6 linked regions of the Rattus norvegicus genome follow. The protein of the gene in region 2 interacts with the protein of the main gene of each other region in a biochemical or structural test. Links are inferred from orthologs where the notes say so. Each region holds a gene or a part of one and is shown on either strand. Other genes may lie near its edges.

What was found.
Region 1: the proteins of Ywhaq (region 2) and Mark2 form a complex in vitro, tested with the Homo sapiens proteins (2 studies listed by BioGRID, with this or other methods). The link is inferred for Rattus norvegicus from reciprocal best matches to the Homo sapiens genes YWHAQ and MARK2.
Region 3: the proteins of Ywhaq (region 2) and Prkd1 form a complex in vitro, tested with the Homo sapiens proteins (2 studies listed by BioGRID). The link is inferred for Rattus norvegicus from reciprocal best matches to the Homo sapiens genes YWHAQ and PRKD1.
Region 4: the proteins of Ywhaq (region 2) and Cdc25a form a complex in vitro, tested with the Homo sapiens proteins (2 studies listed by BioGRID, with this or other methods). The link is inferred for Rattus norvegicus from reciprocal best matches to the Homo sapiens genes YWHAQ and CDC25A.
Region 5: the proteins of Ywhaq (region 2) and Hdac4 are reported together in a solved structure, tested with the Homo sapiens proteins (2 studies listed by BioGRID, with this or other methods). The link is inferred for Rattus norvegicus from reciprocal best matches to the Homo sapiens genes YWHAQ and HDAC4.
Region 6: the proteins of Ywhaq (region 2) and Cdc25b form a complex in vitro, tested with the Homo sapiens proteins (2 studies listed by BioGRID). The link is inferred for Rattus norvegicus from reciprocal best matches to the Homo sapiens genes YWHAQ and CDC25B.

What each region holds. Positions count from the first base shown.
Region 1 is NC_086019.1:213,951,950-213,956,769, forward strand, and holds the start of Mark2 (serine/threonine-protein kinase MARK2), read right to left. Parts: upstream 3,201-4,820; 5' UTR 2,804-3,200; coding exon 2,750-2,803; intron 1-2,749. UniProt on the Homo sapiens protein: Serine/threonine-protein kinase. Involved in cell polarity and microtubule dynamics regulation. Phosphorylates CRTC2/TORC2, DCX, HDAC7, KIF13B, MAP2, MAP4 and RAB11FIP2. Phosphorylates the microtubule-associated protein MAPT/TAU.
Region 2 is NC_086024.1:46,666,761-46,671,035, forward strand, and holds part of Ywhaq (14-3-3 protein theta), read right to left. Parts: intron 2,652-4,275; coding exon 2,488-2,651; intron 1,782-2,487; coding exon 1,686-1,781; intron 1-1,685. UniProt on the Homo sapiens protein: Adapter protein implicated in the regulation of a large spectrum of both general and specialized signaling pathways. Binds to a large number of partners, usually by recognition of a phosphoserine or phosphothreonine motif.
Region 3 is NC_086024.1:73,771,087-73,775,826, forward strand, and holds the start of Prkd1 (serine/threonine-protein kinase D1), read right to left. Parts: upstream 3,321-4,740; 5' UTR 3,040-3,320; coding exon 2,782-3,039; intron 1-2,781.
Region 4 is NC_086026.1:118,741,663-118,746,423, reverse strand, and holds the start of Cdc25a (M-phase inducer phosphatase 1), read right to left. Parts: upstream 3,377-4,761; 5' UTR 3,134-3,376; coding exon 2,964-3,133; intron 2,675-2,963; exon of another isoform or gene 2,587-2,674; intron 1,985-2,586; coding exon 1,908-1,984; intron 910-1,907; coding exon 867-909; intron 1-866. UniProt on the Homo sapiens protein: Tyrosine protein phosphatase which functions as a dosage-dependent inducer of mitotic progression. Directly dephosphorylates CDK1 and stimulates its kinase activity. Also dephosphorylates CDK2 in complex with cyclin-E, in vitro.
Region 5 is NC_086027.1:100,194,351-100,199,148, forward strand, and holds the start of Hdac4 (histone deacetylase 4), read right to left. Parts: upstream 3,288-4,798; 5' UTR 3,210-3,287; exon of another isoform or gene 2,951-3,209; intron 1-2,950. UniProt on the Homo sapiens protein: Responsible for the deacetylation of lysine residues on the N-terminal part of the core histones (H2A, H2B, H3 and H4).
Region 6 is NC_086021.1:138,866,112-138,870,386, forward strand, and holds the end of Cdc25b (M-phase inducer phosphatase 2), read left to right. Parts: intron 1-69; coding exon 70-150; intron 151-236; coding exon 237-410; intron 411-616; coding exon 617-709; intron 710-1,140; coding exon 1,141-1,203; intron 1,204-1,364; coding exon 1,365-1,463; intron 1,464-1,649; coding exon 1,650-1,783; intron 1,784-2,575; coding exon 2,576-2,687; intron 2,688-2,841; coding exon 2,842-2,982; 3' UTR 2,983-4,176; downstream 4,177-4,275. UniProt on the Homo sapiens protein: Tyrosine protein phosphatase which functions as a dosage-dependent inducer of mitotic progression. Directly dephosphorylates CDK1 and stimulates its kinase activity.

The sequences.
Region 1 (4,820 bases), on a different chromosome or scaffold from region 2:
TGGTAAAACCAGTTTAAGTAATTTAAATCTAAATAAGGTGACAGTGGAGAGGGACCTGCCCAGCCAAATTCTTTGCTCTTTATTTCCTAACACTGAGGTGACAGCAATGGCCTGAGCTCCCACAATGGTTTACTATTTGCAAAGGGACTGAGGAGAAGGTATTCGGTTTCACCTAGTAAAGAAGGTGAATGCTGAGGACTCTTGGTTTTTTTAAAATTTTTCTAAAGCATACAGGTTTGGCCTGGGGAATATAGAGCACTTGTCTATCAAGAGCAAATTTTAGCAGCACAAGAAACAAAAAGAGACAGCAAGGCACCTGTAATAGGTGTGCATCGAGCTTTTCCAAGTCCAAGTTTTTTCAAAGGAGGCTGTGGAACATGAAGTTGGCAGTGTGAGTGGAGAATCAGGGACTGACTCCATACAGCTCAGTTCGTGAGGAATAGCAATAAGCCAAAAAGGAGCGGAGTGACAAGGCAGCTTCTGCTCTGGACTAAGTTATCACAGAGCAGCTCATGTGCCAAACTGGCCACTGATTACCACTCTCCTGAAATCAGTGCACATGCGCCAAACCTCACCTCCATGATCCAACACTGTGTGAAGCACATCGGAGCACACAAACCAATAATGCATTTGCGCTTAATAAACAGCACAAAAAACCATACTGAGGCCACTCTCTCTGCCCAACACAATGCCCCCACAGCCTCTCTAGGGAACAGGCAGGTCAACCACTCCCCAAATGCCTGAAGGTGCCAGTCAGTCACTTGGCCTCCTTCCCCCTGCTCATAATCAAGTCTAGGAAAGTTCTCCAGTTAATCGAAGTCTAGCTACTGAAAGAAAGGTAGGAGAAAAGGGTACGTACAGAACAGCCTCAAAAGAGCTGGACAAAGTGTTTCCCAGAAGAGATACAGCTGGCAAGCAAGGGACTGTGCAACACAGACCAAGCTCCTCAATTTCCAAAGATCTCTGTCCCAGGCAGGCCTAGCTTCCTGGTGGCATGCCAGACCCAGGCATGAAATAAATCAACCATCCCTCCCTCTCAACTCCCTGCTCTGCCCCAACAGCAAACAGTCCATAGGTATTATAGGTCCACGGTGACAGAAACTCCGTCCTGATACCTCCTTAGTTCCCAAGTGCCCAGGTACAGACAGCAAGAGAGGAACAAAGCAGAAAAGTACAGGAAAGGAAAAAGGGATGAAGAGGGCTTTACAAAGAAGGAAGTCGATGCTAAGCAAACACAGCAGCAGCACTAGCCTACCTGGCTACAAAGAAAGCAGGGAACAAGAGGGAAACACAAAGGGTGCTGATGCGCTAAGTATGCCCCCTTCCAACATGTCTGTGTTTAGTAAAATTCACCCAGAAACATGTGACAGGCAAGGGACTGTCCAAAAGGCAGGGAGCAAGGGACACTAGAGACAGTGAGACAAAAGAGACAAGTGTAAAGAGGACGACAGAGAAGAGGCACAAGCTTGGGTGACAAAAAGCAGTGGTTGCCAGGATGAAAGGGAGAGCACAAGGCCCAGCTGCTGACCCACAGCACAAGCAGTTAGCATCCACCCTGGGAATGGCAAAGGCTAGCCAACGGAAAGGGAAGGGACAGAGCATACAAGGTGTAAACAGACAGTGAGAGGAATAGGAGACCCATCAGGACAGGAAAGGCAGCACTGATTACGGAGTCATAGTATGAAAGAGGAGGAAGGTTGAGCAATAGGAAGTAGCAAACAAGGAGGAAGATACTATGATACTATGAGAAGTGACAGACACCGGTTTGGAAAGACAGTATCCGAATTTGTGTTGCAGTGTAAGTAGGCAGTAAAGCAGGGACTGATGCAGCTGATGCAGCCGGCAAAAGACTGAGCAACAGGTTACGTTAATACAGCCAGGCTAAAACACCGTCTTTCCCACGGTAGAGGGAGAACCCAGGGACAATCTGGAAGAGCATTCAAACACAGACAGAAAGCCTAGGGACTCAAATGCCAAACCCCAAGGGGAAGAGAGCAGGAGCGATGCAAAGCCTCTGAAGGGAGCGGTGACTGGAACCCCAAAGGCAACCTGTGGGAAAACTATGCGCATGACAGCTGTATGGGAAACACGGAAGCGACACATGCCAGTGCCAGGAGCCTGGGAGCTCCTGCTGAAAAGAAGGGAAAGTGATGAGCAAAGAGTAGGCGAACGATTTGGAAAGGTGACGAGGGTGGAGCTGGTGGGTTGCAAGCAACAAGGAGAGCTCAATTTGGAACAGAAAAGGAGGATAGAAAAAGCTGGAGAAGTGAAAGGGCATAGGGACCGAGAACACACTCCGAGACACGGACTCTTGTGGGAGAAAACCGAGGACTGAGAGCCGGTGCGGGTAGAGGGGGTACAAAGCTAGAGATGCAGAAAGAGGTGGGCAACAATCCGCGGCAAATCGAGGAGCAGGAAGGTGGCTGCTTTAAGCGTGGGTGGAGGAAGACCAGAAAGGCCCCTGAGAGAAAAGGGAAGAGAAGGAAGCTGGGGAGATAGCACGGAAGAGCGCAGGAGGGCGGTGAGAGGCGAGGGGCGTTTGGCAGAGATACAAGTGTGCAGCTCAGTCAGGACAAGGTGGGTCCCAGGTCTGGACTCGGAAGAGGGATGTGCAGGGCTGGAATCCGGGGCCAGATGACAGTCTAGGCTTGCAGAAGAAAGCAGGAACACGAGGAGAGCAGAGGGAGGGAGCCTTCGTAAGGTGCAATGGCCCAGCCACAGAATTAGGGGAGCCCCGAGGGCTCCTTACCTGCTCCGTGTCCCTTTCGTTCAGCGTGGGTAGGGGGGTCCGAGCGCTGGACATGGCGCCGGTATCTCAGGGGAGGGAACGGAGAAGCTTGGAGGAAGGGAGGAAAGGGAAGGCTAGGAGCCCGGCCGGGCGGGGCTTCTCACAGCAGGAGCACCCGCTGCATGGGCCCCGGCCGGGGGTGCGGGGAGGCCGGGCGATGGCTCACGCCAGCCCGGTGATGCGCCGCTCGGGCTAGGCCTCGCCGGCTCCGAGCGGCTCCGGACCGCACCCCCCCGACCCCCGGCTGGGTTGTGCCGCCTTTCGGCCCGGCCGCGCCGCTCCGCCTACTCTCAACCGCCGCAGCCGGCCGCCTGCCTCGCTCCTCCCCTGCCCTCAGCCGCACTGCTCCGCGCCCGACACACAGGCAGCCGCTGCCGGACCTGCTGCTCCCAACATGGCCGCCACCACCGCCAGCCCTCGGCTCTTTCCGCCGGCAAGAGCCGGAAACATCCGAAACAACTAGGAACGGGAGGGGGAAGAGCCTTTTCCTCTCAGCCCAGACTATGGGTGAATTCCGGAAACTACCGAAGAAGGTAATCCCCGGGGACGCGCGCACCTCCTAGATTCCGAAGACCAAGCTTCGGCACTGTTTACGGAAATCCACGAAGATCCTCTCCGCACCTCCACAGCCAACCAGCAGCCACGCCTACCAGCTTTTCTCCGCCCACTTGGAGCAGGCTTTCGGTAGTTTCCGGAAACAGCCGAAGAGGCTCCGCGTGTGCAAAGCCGGCCACGCCCCCGTTCCGTCGCTCAGCCGGGAGCGGTAGTCAGCCATTTCCGGCAACACCCGAGAACTGCCGAGGTTAAGAGTATATCTCTTCGTTTCTTTCCGTCAGTTTTCGTTTATTTTCTTTCTTTTTTTTTTTTTTTTTTGGTTCTTTTTTTTTTCGGAGCTGGGGACCGAACCCAGGGCCTTGCGCTTCCTAGGTAAGCGCTCTACCACTGAGCTAAATCCCCAGCCCCTCGTTTATTTTCAAACCTTGAACAGGCGTGGGTCACCTGTACCTGTTGTTTGATTTAGAAAATACAGCTATGGGTTGGGGATTTAGCTCAGTGGTAGAGCGCTTGCCTAGCAAGCGCAAGGCCCTGGGTTCGGTCCCCAGCTCCGAAAAAAAAAAAAAAGAAATTACAGCTATTAGCTGTTCCTACAACTGGTGTCCTTTGAACCTAACGCCAACTTCCCATCCGCATGTTTGTATGTTAGCTCATAAAATCCACCTTATCACTCAACCTTTCTATCAACATGTGAGTCAATGTAGTGTCACCCTATTGCCCCGTCTCCTGCTTTGCACACCTGCCCATCTTCCAGACTATCTTGGCTTTTAGATATCCACCCGACAGTCTCATACTGACTGAGTCCCCTCATTCCTCTGCAAGGCCTGGGACAGGCACCAGGTCAGCGTCTTTGAAACTTAACAGTTGTAGATAGGCACAAACCTCTAGGATATAGCTTAGTTTTGAGAAAAATGCTTGTGTGATCTTGGGGGCATGTAATCACATAACAAAGGCCAGCAAAATAACTCAGTTTGATCCTTGGGGACCCACATAGTAAAAGGAGAGAACCAAGTCTAAAACATTGTTCCATGAGCATGCTAACCTATACGCTAAATTAAAATGTAATTAAAATAGATTTTTACAAGTTGGAAAGATGGTTCAGAAATCAAGAGGGAAGACTGGTTGCTCTCTCAACCAATCCAGGTTATTACCCAGTATCCATATGGTGGTTAACAACTGTCTAACTACAGTTCCAGGTGATATGACACCTTCTTCTGGCTTCCACTAGATTGCACAGATCACATACAGGCTAAACACTCATATACACAAAAGTTAAATAAATAAATATTACATAATGGGCTGGAATGATGGCTCATTGATTAAGAGCATTTACTGTTTTCCCAGAGATCCTGGTTAGGTCCCAGCATCCACTTCACTACCCTTTGTAACTCCATTTCCAGAGGAACTGATGCCCTCTGGCTTCTACCAGCACCCACACACAAGCACCCATAAAAGCACAAACAATACACACACAAAT
Region 2 (4,275 bases):
GTGGCTGCCAGGAGAAATGCAGGTCTTCACCTCATTGTCAAGCTGTTCATCACATGCCAAAGCTACAACTATAGACTGAAACCTTTGAGTCAAACTAAATGTTCCCTTGTTTTAAAGTTGTTCAATCCAATCTGTCACAAGGACAGAACACTAATGCATCCTTTATCTACTGCTTAAGAATGAGGGAGAAAAACCAAAGGAAAAGATAAAACAGGCTTTGGCTTACAAGCAGAGGTAAATTTACACATAGGTGTAGCCTCTGTATTGGTTAGCTCTTTTTGTTTAACCTGACATAAGCCAGAGTCATCTGGGTAAAGGGAACAGTTAACTGAGGCAATGCCTCCATCAGATTAGCCTGTAGGCATGTCTTTGGGGCATTTCTTGACTCGTGATTGGCCTGGGAGGACCTAGCTTCAGCATGGGAAGTGTCACTCCTGAGCATGTGCTTCTGAGTAATAAAAGGAAGAAGGCTGAGCACGTCATGGAAACAAGCCAGTAAAAGCAGCACTCCTCCATGGCCCCTGCTTCAGTTCCTGCTCTGACTACCCTCTTCTTCTGAGACAGGGTTTCTCTGTGTAGTCCTGGCTATCTCGGAACTCATTTTATAGACCAGGCTGACCTCAATCAAACTCAGAGATCTTCTTGCCTCTGTCTCCTAAGTGCTGAAATGAAAGGTGTGCACCACCACCGCCTAGCTCCTGACTTCCCTCTACGGTGGAGTATAAATCAATTCTGAAAAAACTGTAATAAATTCTTCTCTTCCCAATGCTTTTCAGTCATCATGTTTCCACAGTGCAATAGACTACAAACAAGAAAACCCTCTATCAAGTGTCCAAAAACAACTTAATTTTTTAAACCTTTGTAGGCACAGGCATGCTGCCTGAATACTGTGTATGTACAGTGTCCATGGGCCAGAAAGAGGGTGTTGGATCCCTTAGGACTGGAGTTTGTCCATTGTGAACCACTATGTGGGCACTGAGACTCAAACCTAGGTCCTCTGAGAGAGCAATCGATGTTCCTAACCACTCAATCATCTCTAGCCCTCCCACGTAAACTTTTGGTAAAATAAGGAGATTCTAACACATACAGAATCCCTAATTTGTTATTCCTAATTTACTCAAAGAAAGGAAATATTAGAATTATACAAGCTCTCTACATTAACTGTTATTGTGTTCAACTAAGTCAAATAGCAATGATAACACTGTGTTCCTATAACTTTCATAGAAAGGTTTGATAAAATACCTCTTCACCATGAAGACACTTCTCCAAATTTTGTAAGAGACTATGGAGCTCTAGTTATACAGTATTAGTGCACACCTTTAACCCCAGCACTTGGGAGGCAGAGCAAGCTGGTCTCTGTGAGTTTGAAGCCAGCCTGGTCCACAGAGTGAGTTCCTGGACAGCCAAGGCTACACAAGAGAAAACCTTGGGAGTTGGGGATTTAGCTCAGCGGTAGAGTGCTTGCCTAGCGAGCACAAGGCCCTGGGTTCGGTCCCCAGCTCCGAAAAAAAGAAAAAAGGGAAAAAAAAAAAAAAAAAAAAAAAAAAGAGAGAGAGAGAAAACCTTGTCCCCAAAATAACAACAAAGAGGCTATAGCTTTTCTATACCTGCTTCCAAAAGGCATGAACATCAAAATGAAGTTACTGTTGTTTCTGAAAACAGACATACAACACGGAATAGCTTACTGTTAAGTTGTCTCTAAGCAACTGCATGATGAGGGTGCTGTCTTTGTAGGAGTCTTCATTCAGTGTATCAAGCTCGGCGATGGCTTCATCAAAAGCCTGGTAAAGTTAAACAGCGAGTAATATAGTCAATTCAGGAACAGAAGCTAGCCAGTCTGCAAATACAACCCTGTGTACCACCACATTATGGTAACACTAGGGAAGTAGTCCCTTGGAGATCTAGTTTAAGATTTTGTGAAGGTTCTTCCTTCAGGTTCCTCCCATTTGGGAGAGTTCTGGCCTCACCCTTCCTTACTAAAGCAATACTTGCTCTGCTTCTTAAAAAAAAATAAAATAAAATAAAATAAAGAGAATTACTATATCGTGAAACTCACTCTAAGTATTTACATAAACACTTGTTGGTTCTTTCACAAGATACACAGTATATTAACAACACTTACATATTCTTACAAGAGCTAATGTAGTTACACTGCCCTTCTAAGACACCAGGGGAGGGTGATACAGGCTTCTACTGCCCAAACTTGGCAGGCACTCCTTTCCAGCATTTGATGTTTCCTGCCTAAAGTTATTTTTACTTCTTTTACTACTTTGCCCTCTAGGCTTTTCAGTCAGACATTACTATTTAGAATCACAGTGAGAGAACTATTTAGGGGCTGGGAGGTAGGTATGGGGAAGAGACACTAATGAAGAAACTGTGTCTAACACACATAAAAATGGCCTCCCTTGAGCACCCAAATACCTAAAAGTTAATGTACTTAGTTTCTTAAACACCCTTATAAAGAGGCATGAACTCAACAGATCTCACCGTTTTAGCCAGTGTGCAGGCAAGCTCGGGATTATTAAGGATCTCATAGTAAAATACAGAAAAGTTAAGAGCCAGCCCCAGGCGGATCGGATGTGTAGGTTGCATCTCTTTCTTGCTTATATCAAATGCCTCTTGGTAGGCTCCTTGGGAATTTTCTATCGTTTCTGTGAGTTGAAAGGGGGAAAAAAGTTAAGAACAACAGCAAAAGTATCTATCCAATATATAGCATGCTAACAACTTTAATATATAGGTATCTGGCTATTCTGAATCACCATAGCTCCACTGTATTTAAATAAAACTATGGAGACCACAAAGACAGTGGATAAAGAAAGGTGCTTGCCACCAAGCTTGACAACACAAGTTCAATCTTTGGAACCCACATGGTAAAAGATATCCTCTCATCTCCATGTATGTGCTATGGCATTTAGGCACACACATACTTTAAAAAAAAAAAAAAAGTCAGAGAAAGGGGCTGAGAAGCTGTGGCAGGACAAGATGGCAGAAAGGAAGTTGTTCCACATTTTTCTACACTGGAGATTACCCCCAAGTATGATGTAGTCCTCCTGCCTCTGCTGCACAGGTGCATAGCACCACGTCCAAATAGAGGTGTGTGTCAGAACTCAGGCGTTCTGGCACAGACGGGCGAATCCACTGATGGACACACAGCATAACAACTAAGGGGAGTGGAGGCAACTGGCCTAATTACGACAGGAGCCTACCTAGCAGCTGACTGAGGCAGATGCACATACCCACAGACAAACATTGGATGGAGGTTGGGGATCCCTATGGAAGAGTTAGGGGAAGGATTGAAGGCTCTCAAGGAGATTGCAACCCCACAGGAAGACTAACAGTGTCAGCTAACCTGAACTTCTGAGAACTCCCAGAGACTGAGCCACCAACCAAAGAGCATACATGGGCTGGTCCAATTCCCTGGCACATATGTAGCAGAGGGCTACCTTGTCTGGCCTCAGGGGGAAAGGATGCACCTAATCCTGCAGAGACTTGATGCACTAGGGTGGGAGATATGGGGCAGAGGTGCCCTCTCGGAGGTAAAGGAGTGGACGGAAGAGGGAGGAACTCTGTGAAGGGGTTGGAGGGCATCATTTGGGAGATAGATAGATAGATAGATAGATAGATAGATAGATAGATAGATAGATAGATAGAGAGAGAGAGAGAGATAGACGTGTGTGTGTGTGTGTGTGTGTGTGTGTGTGTGTGTGTGTGTGTGTGTGTGTGTGTGTGCACAATCTGTATTTAGGTGCCTGTGAGGCCTTAGGTCAGGAATGGGATCCTCTGAAGCTGGAGTTATAGACAGACAGTTGTGAATCACCTAATGTAGGTCTTGGGAACCAAATTCTGGTCCTCTTCAAGAACATCAATTTAGAATCAAACATTTGGTTGAGGGATGGCTCAGTGGGAAAAGGTGATCACTACCACTCCTGACAGAGTGAGTCCCTGGGGGACCACATGTTGGAAGGAGAGAATGGGCAGGTTGTTCTCTGATTTGCACACACACACACACACACACACACACACACACACATACACGCACGCACGCACACGCACGCGCACACGCACGCGCACATACACACACACATATAATAAATAAATAAATGTATAAAAGAAAAAACAAAGTAAATGTCCTATATGAAGCCCTGCTTTCAAGCTCTAAGCACACATACCCTATACCATCCTATTTCTATGTTCTACATATAATTTTATAAGAAATATAGAAGTGTTACGTAAGGAATTCTAGAGCTATAATTATAACAAACTCCCAAAGCATGA
Region 3 (4,740 bases), about 27 Mb from region 2:
ACAGAGAAGGTCTCCTGAACAAAACTGCTGAAGTCAACTGAATTGTCAGTGAATACTTCCAACGAGCTAAGCGTCCATGTTAGTTTTTAGGGGCTCTTGAGCACAGACAAGATAAAAAGCCCCCTAATACTGAAACAATAAATAGAAGGACTATAAAAATCAAGAGAACCTTCTTCTTAAAAACCTGTATGTATAGATCTCTCTCTCTCTCTCTCTCTCTCTCTCTCTCTCTGTCTCTCTCTCTCTCTCTCTCTCTTTCCCACCCACCCCCATCATTCTTCCTCACAGTTGTTATCTTCTTGAAGCTTAAGAGAAACCATGAGACAAAGGACAAAAGCCCCCTCCCACTTCCTTACCTCTATACTAGCAAGCTACCCACTCTTGCTGTCACAGCACAAGAATTCTGTCTTGGCAAATAACATATGCCAAAAATCGATACAGAAGATCCATAGATAACAAACAAATGGTGCATAGGTAGAGAGATAACAGATAGGTGATTGATAGTTACATGATTGACACAGACAGCTGGAGAGATGATAGATGATGAAGACAGATACAGATAATAGGTTATTGATATCTACATCGATAGATGAGAGAATAACTGAAGAGGCACACTGTTTAGACCCATAACTTAGTATTTTTACTTATAATATCATGTATTATAAAATTCACATTTCAAAATTTCTAACCTTGCCAGACCCATTTAAAAAAAGGCTATGGTTATCCCAGGAAAAGTTTTCAAACTTTTCTTTTGGTGAAAAGCTACAAAATAAACACAATAAAGAAAGGATTCCCCTTAGAAAGCGCCAGCAAGACTGGTGCCCTTCTCTTTCCAGCATTCCTCCAGCTCTCCCCAAGTCTTGGCTCAGATATAAACAGCACTTGACTGTACTCCAGTTTTCTTTCTGCCATTACATTTTTGCCATTCTAAAACACCCTCCACAAAGCTAATGTGGATCTCAGATACGCCCGGTCTGGTTATCTCTTTTGAAAAGATTACTGAGTTTTTTACAATGTAAGTTTCTAATCATCTCAAGACTTTTCTCATAAGTGAACCTTCCCTACATCTCCTACTGAGGAAGTTCCAGCCTGCTGCACCTGTATGTCCTCTTGCTTACACTTCTCCTGGGTGCTGATAACACTCCCCAGATAGCAGCCCCCTGAGTCAAGTGAAATTCACTCTTCTTCAAAAGCCCAACCCAAACCTCTTGAATCGTATTTCACCATTCACAACTTCAAGGACAGAAAGACAGACAGACACACAGACACACCGTGGGGGGGGGGGGCAGGAAGGCAGAGACAAAGAGAGAGTTTAAGCAGGTCAAAACAAAGTTTGTCCTCATTAATCTAGCCCATTGGGACATTCTAACACTATACCATCTTCTTTAGAACGTCCTGTTAAATTGTTATGGAACTGAATGGGCTTTGTGAATGATTTTATTACATGTGTTGTGTATGCCTGTGTGGCAGTGCTTTATAATCAATCAATCCATTTCATAACAGAAACATTTGAAAGCTATATAGTGAGGCCGTCAGAGCCTAGAATGCTTGCATGTTCACCATCTCCAGGAAGAGGGAGGACTGAATTCAGTACTTCAAGGGAGCTACAAAGAGTTCAATTACATAAGGAAAAAAATCACTCCCTTTAATTAACCAAACTTCAAGGCACTCACTGTTACTTGAGTCTGGCCTCTAGAATTTTCACTTCCTGGTTAGTGAGTGCTTCCCAGGAGCAATTCCCTAGAACTCTGTGCTCAAAAAGTGTAGGACACTTTGTTCCAAACAGTTTAAGATGGTGACTATTCATTAAAAGGTGAGAAGTAGCCAGTCAGCCCTCCAAGGTTGAAATTCAGCACCTTTAACCCTCTCCTCTATCTCTCTCTCCTCCCCCAGAGCCCTGGCTGTCCACACTGGGAAGGAGTGGCACATGCAAGGGTCCTCCACCTTACATGAAGCATCCTTCTGGATGGCTGTGGAGATAACCTAACTTCAAAAGTGGAATTCATCATTGGAAACAATGGTGGGTGGCCAAGCCCAGCCTTATGAGCCTTTCTCCAACCAGTCTTTGATGACCGCTATCCAGAATCGCATCGCCTCAAACTTAAGGGCAAAGCCAGCACTGGATGTTCTTGGAACTACAGACCCTCTCACTACTCCAGTCTCCCAAGATCAGTGGATGGAAATTTAAGCACAAAATGCTGTAAATTTCAGGTTTTATTGTTGGAAAATGTCTCTTAGCTCCAACAGAGGTGGTACTAAATCCAGGGAGGACTTGGGTAGTGTGCACCAACTGCTCAGTTGTTTTCACAGCTGGCTTAATCAATCACCCTTTCTTAAAAGCACTATTGGCAGGTGAGAAATCCCTGGCGTCCAGGTCACACCCGGAACTCCGCAGCATCAATTAGAGCTGAAAGAGGATGGAGTGGAAGGGAGCGGTGCTGAAAAAGCGAAGGGCTGTCCCAAGGGAACTCTGGTGCTGGGAAGTGGATCTGACACCAGGTAGGCTCTGGTCCAGAGAAAGGAGTCGGGACAGCCAGGAAATCTCAAAAATATGCTGGAGCGCAAGGAGAAAAGTGTAAGATTCCTTGAACTGTCACCGGAGGAAGGGAGGTAAAGGTGAGAAGGCAGACATGCCAGCGAAGAAGGGCTGGAGGTCAGTCCCGGGAGGACTGCGCGGCCCGGAGAGCAGTGCCTGGGGTAAGAGCATGCAACCCGGCCACAACCAGGCTGTACGGCGCGGGCGAGGCCGGCTGCAAAGTTGGCGGACCCGGGGCACCTTACCTTCTGGTCCACGATGGAGCAAGCCATCTCCCGGACATGCGCCAGGCTGTAGTCGCCAGAGGAGTCCTGAAGGAGCAGCACCGGCTCGCGGCTCAGGCCGATCTGCAGATGGAACGAGATGCCCCCCGCCGGGGCGGCCCCAGGCGCTGGGAAGGGCGCGGGCCCGGAGCCCGGGACCAGCGCAGCAGCGGCGGCGGCCACAGCGGCCGCGGCGGGCAGCAGCGGGCTAGGCGGCCGTAGTAGCGGAGGGGCGCTCATGGCGCGAGTGAGCCCCAAAGTTTGGCGGAGGTGGGGCGCGGCGCCGCTGCCTGCGGCGGCCGAAAACAACCACCAAACTTTCCGGGAAAGTCCGCGCGCGGGGACAGGGCGCGCGGCCCGGGCTGGCGAGGGCGGGAGCGGCGAAGATGGCCGAGCGGAGTCGGGGCCGGTGGACGGGCAGACTGGCGGGCGAGCGGGCGGGCACGCGGCAGCGCGTGGGAGGCGCCCAGCTACTGCCGCCGCCGCGCGCTCCGCTCCGGGGACCGCGGCGGGTCGGCGCGGTCGGCGCCGGCGGGGCGGGGCGGGGCGAGGGCGGCGCCGCGGAGCCGAGGAGGGGAACGGGAGCCCAGCGGGGAGCCGCCCCCTGTGCGCAGCAGCCGCCCCAACCCACTCGGCGGACACTAGCGCCGCGGACCCGCCCATTTAGGGCAGTCCTGGCCACCCCTTCCAAAGGATCCTACAGGAGTAGACCCGGGAATGCCAGCCCGGCAGAGCCCACTTAACAGGGGACTCCCTCTGGGAGCCCTCGAGTTTGTTAAAGGGTAGGCGCCCAGTCAGCTGACTTCTTTAAACCCTTGTCTCTCTAGTAATAGTCTGTACCCTTTCCATCAACCCCACCTGCTCCACCCACCGCCTTCTTAAGGGCAGGCAAGAGCAAGGTCTGAATAGGGTTCTTGCTTTCTACTTTGTTTTGTGTTTGGAACTTCTGTGTTTCAGCCTCTTCAAAACTGTCAATCTAAACCTGACTTTCTAGGAGTGATTCCTGCCCCACATCCACAGCACTAATTTTGATCTGATTATACTGGTGGCTGAGCAAAAAGAGGTTCTTCGGAGAACTTAGGCCTTATTATATTTCTGTCTTTGTTTCGGGGTCGGTTCTTTGAGTTTGTAGATGTACAGGAGCCCTATTTGCTTTAACAAGCTGCAATGAAAAGCATCAGAAACCTTCTGAGAATTCTGAAGATCTTGGCAGCCCTACTTCTCACTTCAGCTTCCCCAATGTTTCCTCTTACATGCACAAGCACAAAACAATTTTTGCATGTTTTCTTTGCAGTGTGTTAATTTTGTTCTGGTTTGTTTGTTTGTCTTGTCTTGACTAATGGTTCATTGAAATGTGGTTTTCTACAGGGTTGTGTCTTATGTCAGTGATGGAATCTTAAAATTCACAACTACATATAGTCATTCACTATTCTAGAAAACTCTCTAGATTGGTGGTACAAAGTACTGCTTGGGTAGACAGGATAAGGGTGCTGTTCCTAAGTTTACAGAGTACTTTAAAGCACCTAGTTTTACCTAAGAGTGGCCAGAGTGGGAGACATCTGTGTTTTCTAGCTATCCTAGCTCTGAAAGGAGGACTGCTGTCCCAGAGTCTGCTGGCACTAGCCATCCACTTATGAAGTTTGACTATGTTCTTGCCATAACAGATTACATTGAAAATAGAAAAGTAAGACAGTAAATAAAGTTAGTTCTCATAGCAACAATTGCCCTAATTAACAGTGTAACACTGTGTTGCCCTAATTATCAGTATGGTTGACAAACAGCAGTAACCATGATCAAGAACATGAGGCTAAGTACTGTGGCCAGTAAAGAACACAGATCTTTCCTACGGTGTTTCCATTTGAGCCAAGGCCTGATTGATGGAAAGGACTAGTCTTAAGACAAGCTTAGGTAATGGCCTTCTAGTCATATGAAGAGAAAAGA
Region 4 (4,761 bases), on a different chromosome or scaffold from region 2:
TAAAGAGATATTTTATTTATTTATTTTTTTTGGTTCTTTTTTTCGGAGCTGGGGACCGAACCCAGGGCCTTGCGCTTCCTAGGCAAGCGCTCTACCACTGAGCTAAATCCCCAACCCCAAGAGATATTTTATATGAGCAGATTCATACTGCTCAACCTATAGTAGGGGGAGGAGAGGCATGTCAGGTTCTCATTGTAGCATAGGCAAGAATAGTGTTTCCTGGTCTCAGGAGCACCCTCCATTGAAAATAAAACAAAAATAAAACAAAACCAAAAAACCCCGTGATGTCTCCTAAAATACACACATCCATTCATTTAAGTGTCAAAAAGTAGAGCTGGGGAAATGACAGCTAAACCACAGGAGGGGAAATCCTGCCAACTGCTGACCTGAAGCAACATTCATTGCCAGCAGTGTTTCCAGCACCCAACAATTCACTACAAACAGCTAACTGCAGAGCTCTAGTCCACTGTGAAGAACTTCATTCAAAAGTCAAGTTTTGACCATGAGTGATAACACATACCGTTAACCCAGCACCAGGAGGCGGGCAGACTTCTAGTTCCATGCAAGCCAGGGCTTTGTAATAAGATTCCAATCAAAAACCAACCCTCAAGTTTCTCTTGTCTTTTCTTTTGAGGTTCTAGGGATTCACCCTGTCTAGGGCCTCACACACCACACAAGCGCTCTATTGCCAAGTTTGCACTTTTTATTTTGAGACAGGGTTTTACTAAATTGCCAAGACAGGCCTTGAGTTTTTGATCCTTTTGCCTTGACTTCCTGAGTAGCTGAGACTACAGGCCTGTGCCACTAGGCTGACGTAAGGAAAACTTTCCTACTAAGTAGAAAAATTTAAAGTAGTGAATACATACTTTTCTTTACTGTCCAAGGGCCCAGGAGAATCTAGACAGAAACCTTTGAGAAATAAAAACAAAATTCTTAGAAAATAATATACATTCTGGTGTTAAGCAACATTTTCTTAGTATGTCCATGGACCCTCTTCTGTTTGCAAATACCATCAGAGAAACAAGATTGAAGAGGCCAGCTAGTATCAAGATTGACTTTTCAGATAGTATTGACCCCTAAATCTTTTTGTGGAGCTCCCCCCCCCCAAATATACTTCACTTAGGGGTATGAAAAATACAACCAGCTAAGTTCAGTTCCAAGAGGCCCATCTGGTGTATACTGTGAAATTGTATCTTAAAAAAAAACAGTCTTGGAAAGATGGTTCAGAAGAGCACAACTGCTCTCTCATAGAGGACCTGAGTTCAATTCCCAGCAACCACACAGGCTAATGCCCGTTAACTCGGCTCCAGCAAATGACACCCTCTCCTGGCCTTCAAGGAAAGTACACACCGTGTGCACACAGGAGAAGCATGCAAGCCAACATCCACACATAGAAAAGCACACACTTAAAGACATGGAAGACTCCGCACTCTTTTCTCTCCATAAACTGTCTCAGGAGCTCCCTCCTTCCCTCTGAAGGAAGGGTGTTTGTCACTCCACATCATAATTTCTATGTATACTGTTACCAATTAAATTCCTAGGCAAGACACTTCCAGAATGGCTGACTCCAGATGAATGAATGGTGAAGGCTGAACAAATGCCTGGATTGGTCAGGGGGATGGTGGCCCATGCCTTTAACCACAGCACTCAAGAGGCAAGAGGCCAATGTGATCTACATGGTGAGGCCCTGTCTCAAAATAAATAGATTTAATTAAACTTTTAAAAATAAGGGGCTCAGTGGTTAATAGCACTTGGTGCTCCTATAGAGGGGACAAATTCAGTTCCCAGCAACCATATCAGGCAGCTCACAATGTCCTGTAACTCCAGCCTCAGAGCTCTGATGCCTTTCGATCTAAACACCTACCTACACACATGAGCACATACATACACATAAGTAATGACAATACCTGAATCAGTCGATTCAGAGGAGCCCATTCTCTGTAGACTGCTGCTATTTCTCACGTCCATTGGTTTCTCATAGTCACTGAAACCAAGAGAAATACCTCCACATGAGCTATTTTTAGTATTTGACTAAAAGGACACATACAGGAGATGGGTTATGAAGTAGCCAGGCTGCCACAAACCATCTTGAGAGACCAAGCCAAGGACACCCCACACTCACACTTGGCCACCCAGAATACCCCAGTTGGCATTTAAACAAAGAAAGGAGTGAGTGGCTTGGCCTTGGACCACATTGTAAGACATGCCTGTGGCAAAGGCTGGGTTGTTTCCTTAAATGAGAGCCTCAGTCTGAGGTACCATGCTAGGAATAAGGGCAAAGGTGACTAGGCCAGGAGTCCCAGCTTTTCAGGGTTTGGAAAAGTCGAAAGGCACGTTTAGGAGGCCAGATGCCCAACACCGAAGGAAAAGCAACTTCTCTAAAAGCATTTTTGTTAGTGGTAGTGGTGTAGAGCTACTAAGTCCACCAAGATTTCCAATGTAGAAAAGTTAGTTTAAAAAGTGATAGCTGTAAAAAGGTAGATGGGTAGATATAAGAAACGTGCGGGCCAAGCGGCTGCATAGATTTTGCACAAATGCAAGAAAAGAAAATGCCATGTCCCTTTGTTGAGAAGGAACAAAGCTTACAGGAAACTAAGATCCGACGCGGGTGGTTCAGCAAAGAGTGGTAGTGAAGGCCATTTTCCCCCCGTAAGGGTAGATTCCAAAGACTTTTCTGGAATAGAGACAGAGTAGATTGAAATCTGAAAGGGGTGAACAAGACAGGATGCCCAGCAGGCTTCCCTGACCTCCGGTCTGGCTCGGGCTGAGGATAGCCCTGGACTATCCGAACGGCCTCTCCCGCCCAACATTCCGCCCGGGGGGAGGGTGCACATGGCGGGCCCTGGCCAGGCCATCCCGGATCCGGGCACCAGAACCAGGGGGACAGACTCTGCTTCCTGCTAGGTCATCCCGAGGGCCGACCAGAGGCCAGCGGCCTGGGGCATCGCTCGCCAGTCTCTCACCTGCCCAGCCCTTCCAGCTGGTCCATGGTGACCGTCAGGTTGGTGACAGGGGACAGTCCGCCAGCAGCTGACGCGCCAAACAGCACCTTCCCCGTGGGCTGCGGCGCAGGAGTGGGGCTGCAAGTGAAGAGCAGGCGGCGGCGGTGGGGGGGCTCCGGGCCCAGTTCCATGGCGCCGCCGGGCCTGCCCGGACTCCCGCTCCGTCTTCCTCCGCCTCCGCTGCGCCGGGCCCCGCCCCGCTGGCACCGGCTTCAGCCGCGTGCCACGCCGCCAGCGCCCGCGGGTCAAACACAAACACGACCCCGCGGTTCAGAGACGCGGCCGCCACGGGCAGCGGCGCGGACGGGCGAGCGTCGGGGACTCGGCAGGCGCCAGGCACAAGCACCGGTGCTTCTCTCTCTGTGTCCCGCGAGGCCCGTAGGCGGGCGGGCGCCTGCAACCTCAAGATTAAATCCAAACAAACTCCGCGGAGCCAGAGTCTTGAGGCCACCGACCGGACTAACTCTCCTCACTTTTTCCTTCCTCTTCGTTCGGTACCCGGCACAGAGGAAAGGAACCTCCACTTCCCTCACCACCAAAGTGGCCTTAGCGTTAATTGCTGCACACTCAGGATAGCCGCCGCCCCGCCCCTTCCCTAGTTGGCGCCAAACGGAACTCACCAATCAGGAAGCATACTTCTCCTCGCTCCCGAATGACAGCTGAGCTGGACCAATGAGAAGGAAAGGAGGAAGCATCTCGCGGGCCTCCTCGTGGTCACTCCCTCTCTCCATGGGGGCGAGGCCTGAAGAGTTGGGAGGTGGCAGAAATGAGAAAGGAGCAGAGAAGTCAATGAAACTCCCTGTGAGGGCGCTAGTCCGGACCAAAAGGCCCCCCCTATCTCGCTCCTTTCCAGTTGCATGCTGGGTAGTGTAGTTCCCATAGAGTGTGCTAGGCCGGTCACACACCTAGTCTGAGCTGCTGAGCCTAGTGCTGTGTGCACTTTTAGGAGACATAGAGACTAGGGAAGGCCATCTGGACTTGGCTTTGGTTCTTCCTCTGTGTAGTACAGTACCGTGGATCCCTCTTTTCCTTCACAGTCCTTCAGGCTCTGATTTTGAATTTCTTTCTTTCTTTTTTCTTTTTTGAGACAGGGTTTCTCTGTATAGCCCTAGCTTTGAACTCAGAGATCCATCTGCCCCTGTCTCTTGAGTGCTGAAATTAAAGGCATGTGCCACCATTCCTGTTCCAGGCTCTGATTAAATTAAATTAATTTTTGAAATAGAATTTCTTCTATAGCCCAGGCTGAAACAGGAGTAGTAGTTGAGAGCTTTACATCATCATGATCCACAGATAGCAGGCAGACAGAAGAGAGAGGAGAGGGGAGGGGAGGGGAGGGGAGGGGAGGGGAGGGGAGGGGAGGGGAGGGGAGGGGAGGGGAGGGGAGGGGAGAGGAGAGGAGAGGAGAGGAGAGGAGAGGAGAGGAGAGGAGAGGAGAGGAGAGAAGAGAAGAGAACTGGGCCTGGTTTGGGTTTTTAAGAATTCAAAACCCACTCCCATCAACACACCTGTTCCAACAAGGCCGTGCCTACTCTAAAATCTCTCCCAAACAGTCCTATCAAGTGGGGATCAAACGTTCAACCATATGAGCCTATGGGAGCCATTCTCATTCAAATCACCATAAAAGTACTAAGTAGCACATAGTGTTTATGTACATGACAGTGTTTCAAGTGTGATAATTGCTTAATCCTTACCAGTCTTACATCACAAAAATAATACCAGGAGGAACCAGAGTGAAGGAAAGGTCGTTAATTTAGTCATT
Region 5 (4,798 bases), on a different chromosome or scaffold from region 2:
TCCTCTCACACATCCCTGCTATCAAGGGTGCGTAGCATCACCCATTTCTCGAAGCTATGGGAAGCAATAGAAGAAAGCTAGATGGAAAATACTCAAAAGAATGGCCCATGGCCCTTAGTGGGCACTCCTTTAAACACCTGCTACTGATCCGTGTGATCTCCCTGATCAGAGAAGACACTCTGCTCTTCCTACTCAGGAGCCTACAGTGTCCTGACCTGGTTCAGTTACTTCTCAGTGGAGGCCGTCTGTGTGGACCCCGTCTGGCCTTCCAGGAGGCATGTCAGAGAGGCAAGGGTGGCAGCAAAGCAAAGAGCAGCTGCAGATGGCAGTCCACATTCCGCCCAAAACAAAGCCCATCCTGCTCACTCACCTGAGCCCAAGAGCAAACAACTGACCTCCTGACAGACCGCTCAGGGAGTTGTGCAGGAATGGACTAGGATCTGTTCAAATGCGACAGCGCTTCTGACTCTGCCCCTCAGTCATTTGAACCTCGAAGGTCAGTGTCACACTTAATGCCCAGAGGTGGATGAACAGCAGGACACAAGATGGTCACTGGAGATCAAAACAAAGCCATTCCCAAAAATCTCCTTGGGACCCCTCCCCAAGGCTGGGTTTCAACCAATGGGACATGAGCTCAACTCTGGATTCAGCCTGCTCAGTCACCCCAGGGCCCAGAGACATCAAAAACCCTGGTCTTGGGCCTGAGCCCCACCCCCAATCTCCCTGTGCAGCAGGTGTCTCTCATTTCTGCATCTCCCTGGTTCCCCACGTCAGGTATTAATGTATTACTTATGGTAGCTTCAGAGTTCTGAAAAACCAGCCGTTTTCAATAGAAAATGGCATGGACGAGGCTCGACAGGAGTGATGAAATTTTCTTCTGCTCTGGCAATTAGGACGGCACAAAGTCTCCTTTCCTTTGGTGCCACCCCCAACATCAAAGGATTGGAATTCAAAGCCATTCATGCTGCATTGAAACCTCACAATGAGGCTGGAAAATGGAAGTCGATTACTGGGCAAAAATATGCAGTAGTTAAAAGGAAAGGGTTATAACGAAATTAAGCTGCAGCAGCCCCACGATGTGTGGAAACTTCCAGCACCAGAGCTCTTCTGGTAAACATCAAGAGGGGCATCATCCTAACACAGCTTCGAAACCAAAGTCAAGCTAGGTGCCAGGAGCCCCGTGAAGAGTGCCATGTTCTCTTGCCACCTCGCACAGCAGCAGCCCCTGACTTCTGCAAAGGTGCCACCTGGGGGCTTTATATGCTGCCCAGCTCCCTGACGCTGCTAACCACAGAATGTTCTTGCTAGGGCTGCTTTGGTCACATCTGTCCTTGGTCCCTAGGCTTTCCAGGCCTCTCTGCAGTCCACAGTCATTCTCTCCCCCTCAGGGCTCTCAGATACCCGGTAAGCAGCCGGCAGACCCCTAAAGGGGGCAGTGTTACCTCGGCCTTCTAGCAAACCCAGCCTCTTCTGGGTGATTACTGCTCTTCAGGAAGGCATTTGATCTTTAAAAGAAAAGCCAGAACACAGAAAGCCATAGAAGTCTTACAGTGTGTCGGGTGTGTGTTTTTAAAGCATGAAAATACTTCCCTCCCACACAAACGGGGAGTTCTTCTGGGGAAAGATGCCACAGATCCCGAGGAGTGGCAGATCTGGGAAAGCGAATGGGTCTTAAAAATAGACAATTGAACCTAGACTAGAGCTGCAGAAGCTACCTGGGGAAAAATGAGAATTTTTAACTAAATCTCGCATATTTTTTTGATATCCAAAACTCCATTCTGATGAAACTTCTAACTGGGTGGCATTTTGCATTTCCAATTATAATGGAGTAATTGTGTTGCCATAGAGACTGCAAAATTCTGCAATAACTTTTGCTGCCTTGTAACTGCTATAGTGTATATTTGTGTAGAAGCAGCTGAGTTTTCTTAATTCAACCTCCTTGCCTCTCACAAGCGTTCTACCACCACCACCACCACCACCACCACCACCACCACCACCACCACCACCACCACCACCACCACCACCACCTTCTTTCTGGATGGATTTTGAAACCACCACACTAGCTTTCATCAAGCCGGTCCTGAAATAATGCACGGAATTATCAGAAGCAATTAAAACTCCTGGCAACCTCGATCATATCACGGAGGAAAAACCGAAACCAGGTCAAGGTGCAAGCCGCCAGCATCCCCCTAGCCCCAAAGTGCGACAGGGCCATGGCTGTTTACACGTTAATACTCCGCAGGCCTTAAATGCTTAGGTGGTTTGTGGGAACAGGCAGAAACGCCTGAGCAGAGAAAAGCAGGGAGGCAAAGTGACTACACAGGCCTTTCCTTCCTCCCCGAGCAGGCAGAGTGGCTCTCGGAAAGCAATTAGGTAGGTCTCTACAGTAATGCAATTAGGATTTAGTTAAGAAAGTCATTAGTTCTAAAATAACTTAAGTTTAATTTCTGCGACGCTTTATTTGAAAATCGTGTCACAGCAGGTCAATTTACAGCATGCAATAACCAAAACACTGCTATCAGCGGCTGCAAGTTATTAACAAATTCTCCGTGTGCATTAAAGGAGAACACGGGTTCCACACCCGGCCTTTCCGACCGACTCCGGCGGTGTGGGCTACAGCCGTGCCTTCGGAACGCTCGCTCAGGGTGGACACCGGGTCGTCTCCCGGGCTAGCGCAGCTTCTCGCCAGCCCAACGACCGTCCGGGCCCAGCCGCGGCCCCCGCCCCGCCGCCCGCCGCCGCCGAGGGGCGTTTTCTGCAAACTCACAGGCTGACAAAGTTACATAAACGCCCCGGCCCCCGCCCCCGCGCGCCCACCTGCCCGCCCGCCGGCGCAGGCCGCTCTCCCGCCCGCCAGCCCGCGGCGCAGGGCCCCGAGGCCTCGGCGGGGCCGGGCGTCCACCTGCCGCCAGCAACCGGGCGGCGCGGACAATGACGGCCGGTGGCTTACCGCGGCGGCGGCGGGCCGCGTCTAGCCCTGCTCGGGCGCTCCGAGCCGCATCTCCTCAGCCTGCGCCGCCGCCGGCGGGCGGGCGGGCTCGGGCGGCGACGGCGACAGCAGTCGCGTTGAGCGGGCCGGGCGTGAGGCGGCGCGGCGACGGCGGCGGCGCGAGCAGGCGCGCGGGCTCGGGCTCGGGCGGCGGCGGGGATGGTGCTCCGCGGCAGCGGCCCCACAACCTCCCCTCCTCATTCACAAAAAATTGACCCACGTTGAACCATGATGCTGCTCCCCCTCGAGCGCAGAGCCGCGCGGGGATAGGCCGCGCCCTACGCCCGTCAGGCGCTCCAACCCCGCCCCTCCCGCCGTCGGCCCACCAGCCATTGGCTGCAACGGCTTTGCGTCACCTCCCCCCGTGGGCCCCGCCCCCTGCCTGGTTTCTAATGAAGAAAGCGTCAATTACGGCTCGGCCCCGCCTCCAAGAATTCAGTTGCTCTTCCATTGGTCCGAGAGTCCTAAGTCCGCCCTACAATAGCCCAACAGCCACCCCCGCTTCGCGGGCGCTGCAAAGGGGCTCCGCCTTCGATCGGCCTCTCTCAAAAGTTACAAACCCCATTGGCTCCCGGCCTTGTCAATACTAGTGAGCGGGGCGTACCGAGGACTCTCCAGGCGCTAGCTCTGAGAGCTTCGCTGTGGAGAAAGAGCAGGGAGCTGGTGCACGTACTGACTGATGCTGTTGACAGACCTCCTCGGCAGCCCGCGGCGCTGCCCGGGTCAATATAGTGTGCCTGAGTTCATGTCTCATGCTCTAAGGGGGCGCGCAAGAGCGCAGACTGTGACGGGGGCCCGGTCAGGCCTGGCTGCAACCTCCATCTTGGGCAAGGCACAGGTCACGTGGGCTGCGTGCGGGGGACGCCGAGCCCAGAGGGAGTGCGCAGGCGCGGCGGGCCCCGCCCTGCCCCGGGGCAGGCGCGCCGCTTGGGGGTGCGGCTGTGACTATGGGCCCTTGCGTGGCCGTGGGAACTGGGAATTCAGGGACCGTTGCTGTGGCGGAGGTGTAGGCTTTGGGTCGCCGCCACCGCGTCCCGGTTTGCTGAGACCCACCCCTTCTTTGCTGGGGTTCTTCTAGACCTGGGTCAAGCACCTATAAGTGGCGTACCCGGGTGTGGATGGGCATGAAAGATCATGCTTCTGACGCCCCTGGGTCCATTACCTTTCATCAGGAGAGTAGTGCAATTTCTCATCCTGTGTGCATGGTATTTCCAGAATCTCACATCTAGAACGAAGGAGAGAGCATCTGGTCCACCCTACATGGTCTGACTGTCCTAGGATGCTGGCCTGTCTACTAGGCCTTGACTTGTAGGAATTGAATAGAGACCGAATAGTATTTTTTGATCCGTGACTGGGGGATAATTGAAGGTATGTGGATGAAAACAATTCGCAAAATGCAATAGATTCTTTTCATTATCTCAGGGTAATAGTGAACTAGAGAGCTTCGTTCATTGGGAGAAATTCAGACGCTAGGATAGCTCAGCTGCGAAGCCAAGGGATGAATTGTGGAATCAAAAAGAGTAGAAGAAAATGACCGCACTTAGGAGTGCCAGTGCAGCTGCTTATAGAAAAGTACACTACCAAATTTACATACAAAATAATGCAGGATCTGCAGCCTGCTAACATTTAGATGAAACATGAAGTTCAGAAGTACTTGAAAGGATAAAGATGTGCAATAATCAGAGATTTGATGAATACTGAGTAAATACGAAGTAAGTACTGATGAATACGAACCTGAACAAAAGTTACATGAGGAAGTTCTGGAATATACTCTTAGATGCAGTTACTTTCAAATGATAGTGTTCCATT
Region 6 (4,275 bases), on a different chromosome or scaffold from region 2:
AAGAGAAGACTCTCCACCATTTACTCCATGCTTGAGTTTGTGATTCTGTCCTTACTGCTTTGACCTCAGGATGATGATATGGTCCCCGCAGGCATGGAGAACCTCATTAGTGCTCCACTGGTCAAAAAGCTGGATAAGGAAGAGGAACAGGTGATGCCCAGTAGTGCCCCCTCGGAGCTAAGGGGACATGGGGTGGAGGGACCAGGCTCTGACTCCTGCCATGTTACCTTTGCCAGGATCTCATCATGTTCAGCAAGTGCCAGCGGCTTTTCCGCTCTCCATCCATGCCGTGCAGTGTGATCCGGCCCATCCTCAAGAGGCTAGAGCGGCCCCACGACAGGGACGTGCCTGTCCTGAGCAAGCGCAGGAAGAGTGGGACACCCCTGGAAGAGCAGCAGCTTGAAGAACCCGTTAGTTCCGCCCTCTGGGGGGCTGGGCTGCTCACCTGGGGTGTGTTTGGGCTGCAGATGCTCTGGGTGTCCTCTCCTGGGCAAAGGTGCAGCAGTGGGTAGTGTGCAGCTGGTTGTTTAGGTGGCAGGGGAAGGAGGTCTCAACCAAACAGCACTGAGAGGCAGTCTCTTCCCTCACCCTGGCCTCCGTCTGCCTTACTTTCCAGAAGGCCCGGGTCTTCCGCTCAAAGTCCCTGTGTCACGAGATTGAGAGCATCCTGGACAGTGACCACCGTGGCCTGATTGGAGATTACTCTAAGGTAGCATTCTAGGGCTTCAGGAGGCTTCTTTCACCCGCTCTGGAGCCCTAATGCAGGACCCATCTGTCCCCAGAGGTCCCCCCTTCCCTCTGTGTCTTTTCATTCTTGTTCTCATGCAGACTCTTCCCTCTGGGTCCCCTTCCGATGCCACCTCAAATCTGTCCAGGCATCTCATCCTCGAAAAACATTTCCAAATCAATCTCTGGTATGCAATCTCCTGCCTCAGCCTTCGGCTTTCAAACCCAAGAGCAGGAAGCAAGAAGGTCTAGGGCTTTTCCTTCCTCTTTTACCCTCAGAAGGTTGTTCCCTGGGTGCAGGCCCCCAGAGGTTTCACTCAGCTGAATCTGAAGGCTGAGGCCGGTGTTGCCTCTGTCCTTCCAGTCTCTGTGTCTCAATGTGTTTCCCTGACTCTGCCTCATCCCTCCCTTCAGGCCTTCCTCCTGCAGACTGTGGATGGCAAACACCAAGACCTCAAGTACATCTCACCAGAAACTGTAAGCAGGGTTGAGCCACTCTCCAGGTGCATTGGGGACCACCTTCTCTTGGCTCTTGTCTTCCTCTGGGGATGGGCTGCATGTATAGACTATCGGAAGAGAGAGGGAAAACCTTGACTACAGTCTCACCTGCTGGCACCAACCCTGATGGCCTCCTACAGATGGTGGCCCTGTTGACAGGCAAGTTCAGCAACATCGTGGAGAAGTTTGTAATTGTGGACTGCAGATACCCCTATGAGTATGAAGGCGGGCATATCAAGGTGAGACGGGTGCTGGTAAGGCCAGGCCCTCCATTCAGATTCCTTGCCGAGAAGATGAATAGCCTTCCATGGTGAATTTCCTATGGGGAGGATTTCTGCTCAGCAAGAGGTGGGGTTACTTACCTGGGAACTGAACAAGAAGGGCCATGGTGCAGGCTTCAGCTTGACCCCCAGATCCTCTGACAGAATGCTGTGAACTTGCCCCTGGAACCGGATGCCGAGACCTTTCTGCTGAAGCATCCCATCACGCCTTGTAACCTGGACAAGAGAATCATCCTCATTTTCCACTGTGAATTCTCATCTGAGCGTGGACCACGGATGTGAGTCCTAGCTCTGTCCCATCCTTGTGGTCAGTGGCCAGCCGGGGCCCACCCTCGGCTTTCTTTGCCTGGTACTGAGTGCCAGAGCATCTTGCTGCATGTGATAGTTTAGAGCTGACCTCAGCTCTCCTGTTGTAGACGACGTATCTTACCATTGTCTTCCTTCCACCCACATCATCAGACCGTCTTCGGTCCGTTGCTGCATACCCACAAAACGTAGTGCCAAGTACAGTAGCATCCTTAAAATCTGAGGATACTGTGACACTCAAGCACTTGGAACCCTGCTACTGTGCTGACGACCACTGGGGTCCATTGCTTTCCTTCAGCCGTCTTTCCTCTGTCCCGGTGTTCATGGTTATTCTTCTGCCTCCTGGTCCAGGGTGGCCACCAGCTCCACCTGGCAGCTGTTAGCATCTGTCTCAGCGGACCAGAATCTCCTTCCCATTCCCTATACACGAACTTCACCCCTCTAGCACAGGGTTCCAGTTTTCTCATATGATTCTTGCTGGGCAATGGACCAGTCACGGAGCTTCACTTTTTTGATCTTTCCGATCCTCCCTTCCCATCTTCCCTTGAGTCCTTACCACCTCTGATCCAGGAGACCCTGGAGTATATGTGGTTTTTCTATGTTGCTGTACCCAGTGTCTGCTACCTAGTAACCAGTCTTGCCTAGCAGGTGACATGCCTGTGCTGAGAAGTCTGTGCACGTGGGGGCTCTTAATGCAGTGTGTACAGGGCATGGTCTCTTTCCGGCATGCGACCTGCCCTGAACCACCTCCCATGATACTCCAGGTGCCGCTTCATCAGGGAACGGGACCGTGCAGCTAACGACTATCCCAGCCTGTACTACCCTGAGATGTACATCCTCAAAGGCGGCTACAAGGAGTTCTTCCCGCAGCATCCGGTACCATGGGTGGGATGGTCACAGCTCTCCCATCGTGGACTGTAGGAACAGGACCCAACTAGGCTATAGGCCCTACCCATACCCCCACCCCCAGCCCCCAGAACTTACTCTTTCTCCCATACTGATGGACTCTTCTCATCTTCTCATCCCCTAGAACTTTTGTGAGCCCCAGGACTACCGACCCATGAACCATGCAGCTTTCCGGGATGAGCTGAGGAACTTCCGCCTCAAGACACGCAGCTGGGCTGGGGAACGGAGCAGGAGGGAACTCTGTAGCAGGCTGCAAGACCAGTGACGAGCCAGCCTCAGTCCTGCCACCATCCTTACCTCAGGAGGCTTGCGAGCCAGTGGGTCCCATGGGCCTATGCGGCCACCTACTTGCTAGAGGCCTCAGGTGCTATAGGGGGTTGGGGGGATGGTGTGGTGTCACATCTGTCTGTCCCTGTCCTCAATTTTCCTGTCTCACTCCACTAATTTTCTGTATCTTGGTACTGATCCCATCTTAAAGAGCTGAACCAATGGGTGAATACCAGCTAAGAGGAAGTCCTTTGTGTTCAATGAGAGCCCTTTTACAATCTCCTTTTTCCTTGTTTGTGTTGACTCCTTGTCTTACCCCTTCGCAGGGAGAGCCTCAGCCCTTTAAGATGAGCACAGTAGCTTCTTGGGTAGCCTGGATGCAGGACGCTACACTGCTGCACAGGGCTGTGTCTGCTCTCCTCTCCTGGCCTCTGCACAGATTCCTCCATTGGAAGCATAAGTGCTTACTTTTCCTGTTGTCGTCTTACCCATAGCTTTCATTTTCGTCTGTCTCACTTAGCGTGTCCCAGGACACACTGACAGCTGGGGAGGCTCCCTTGTACAGCTGGGGACTAGAGATTCAAATATCATGTACTCATTAGGCTTGGCTTTTGTTAGCCCACAAAGGGATCTTTTCCTTTAAGACCCCCAGAGCTAGAGCAAAGGCCTGATTCAGGAGCCTCTGGGAGCCCCATCCTCACTGCTGTGAACCCTAGAGCCTCGCTGGTCAGCACTTGTTGCTGGGCAATGAACCAGTCACTGAGCTTCACTTTTTGGTCCTTCTCTGTCCCTCCCTGTCCCTCTCTGTCCTTCTTTCCATATCTGGTCCTGAGTATGCATGGTTTTTCCGTGTTGCTGTACTAGTGACAGAGTCTAGGCCCTTTGTTGGATGGTCATGGATGCACAGTGCCTTGTACACATGTATGCACACAAATCGAGTGAAGTATTTTGGTAAGCATGATGGCCTATGGCAGGAGTGTGTGTGTGTGTGTGTGTGTGTGTGTGTGTGTGTGTGTGTGTGTACAAAGTCTTTACACTTAGCATTTGGAAATATTAAAGAAATATTGTCATAGGGGAGGGAGGAAGAAGCAACTTTTGGGTTCAGAATCTACATATGAAAAGGTCATGCTGGAAGGCCCCCAATGCATCCTCTGTTGGGGCCTTGGTTCAATAAAGCACTGAGCAAGTTGAATAATCTGTTCGTTTATGCGGAGCTGCTGACCAGGCCATAGCAGACTGGATGGTAGGATGGGGGTGAAGACAGACCAGTGGAGGTAGAAAGACTCTCTGG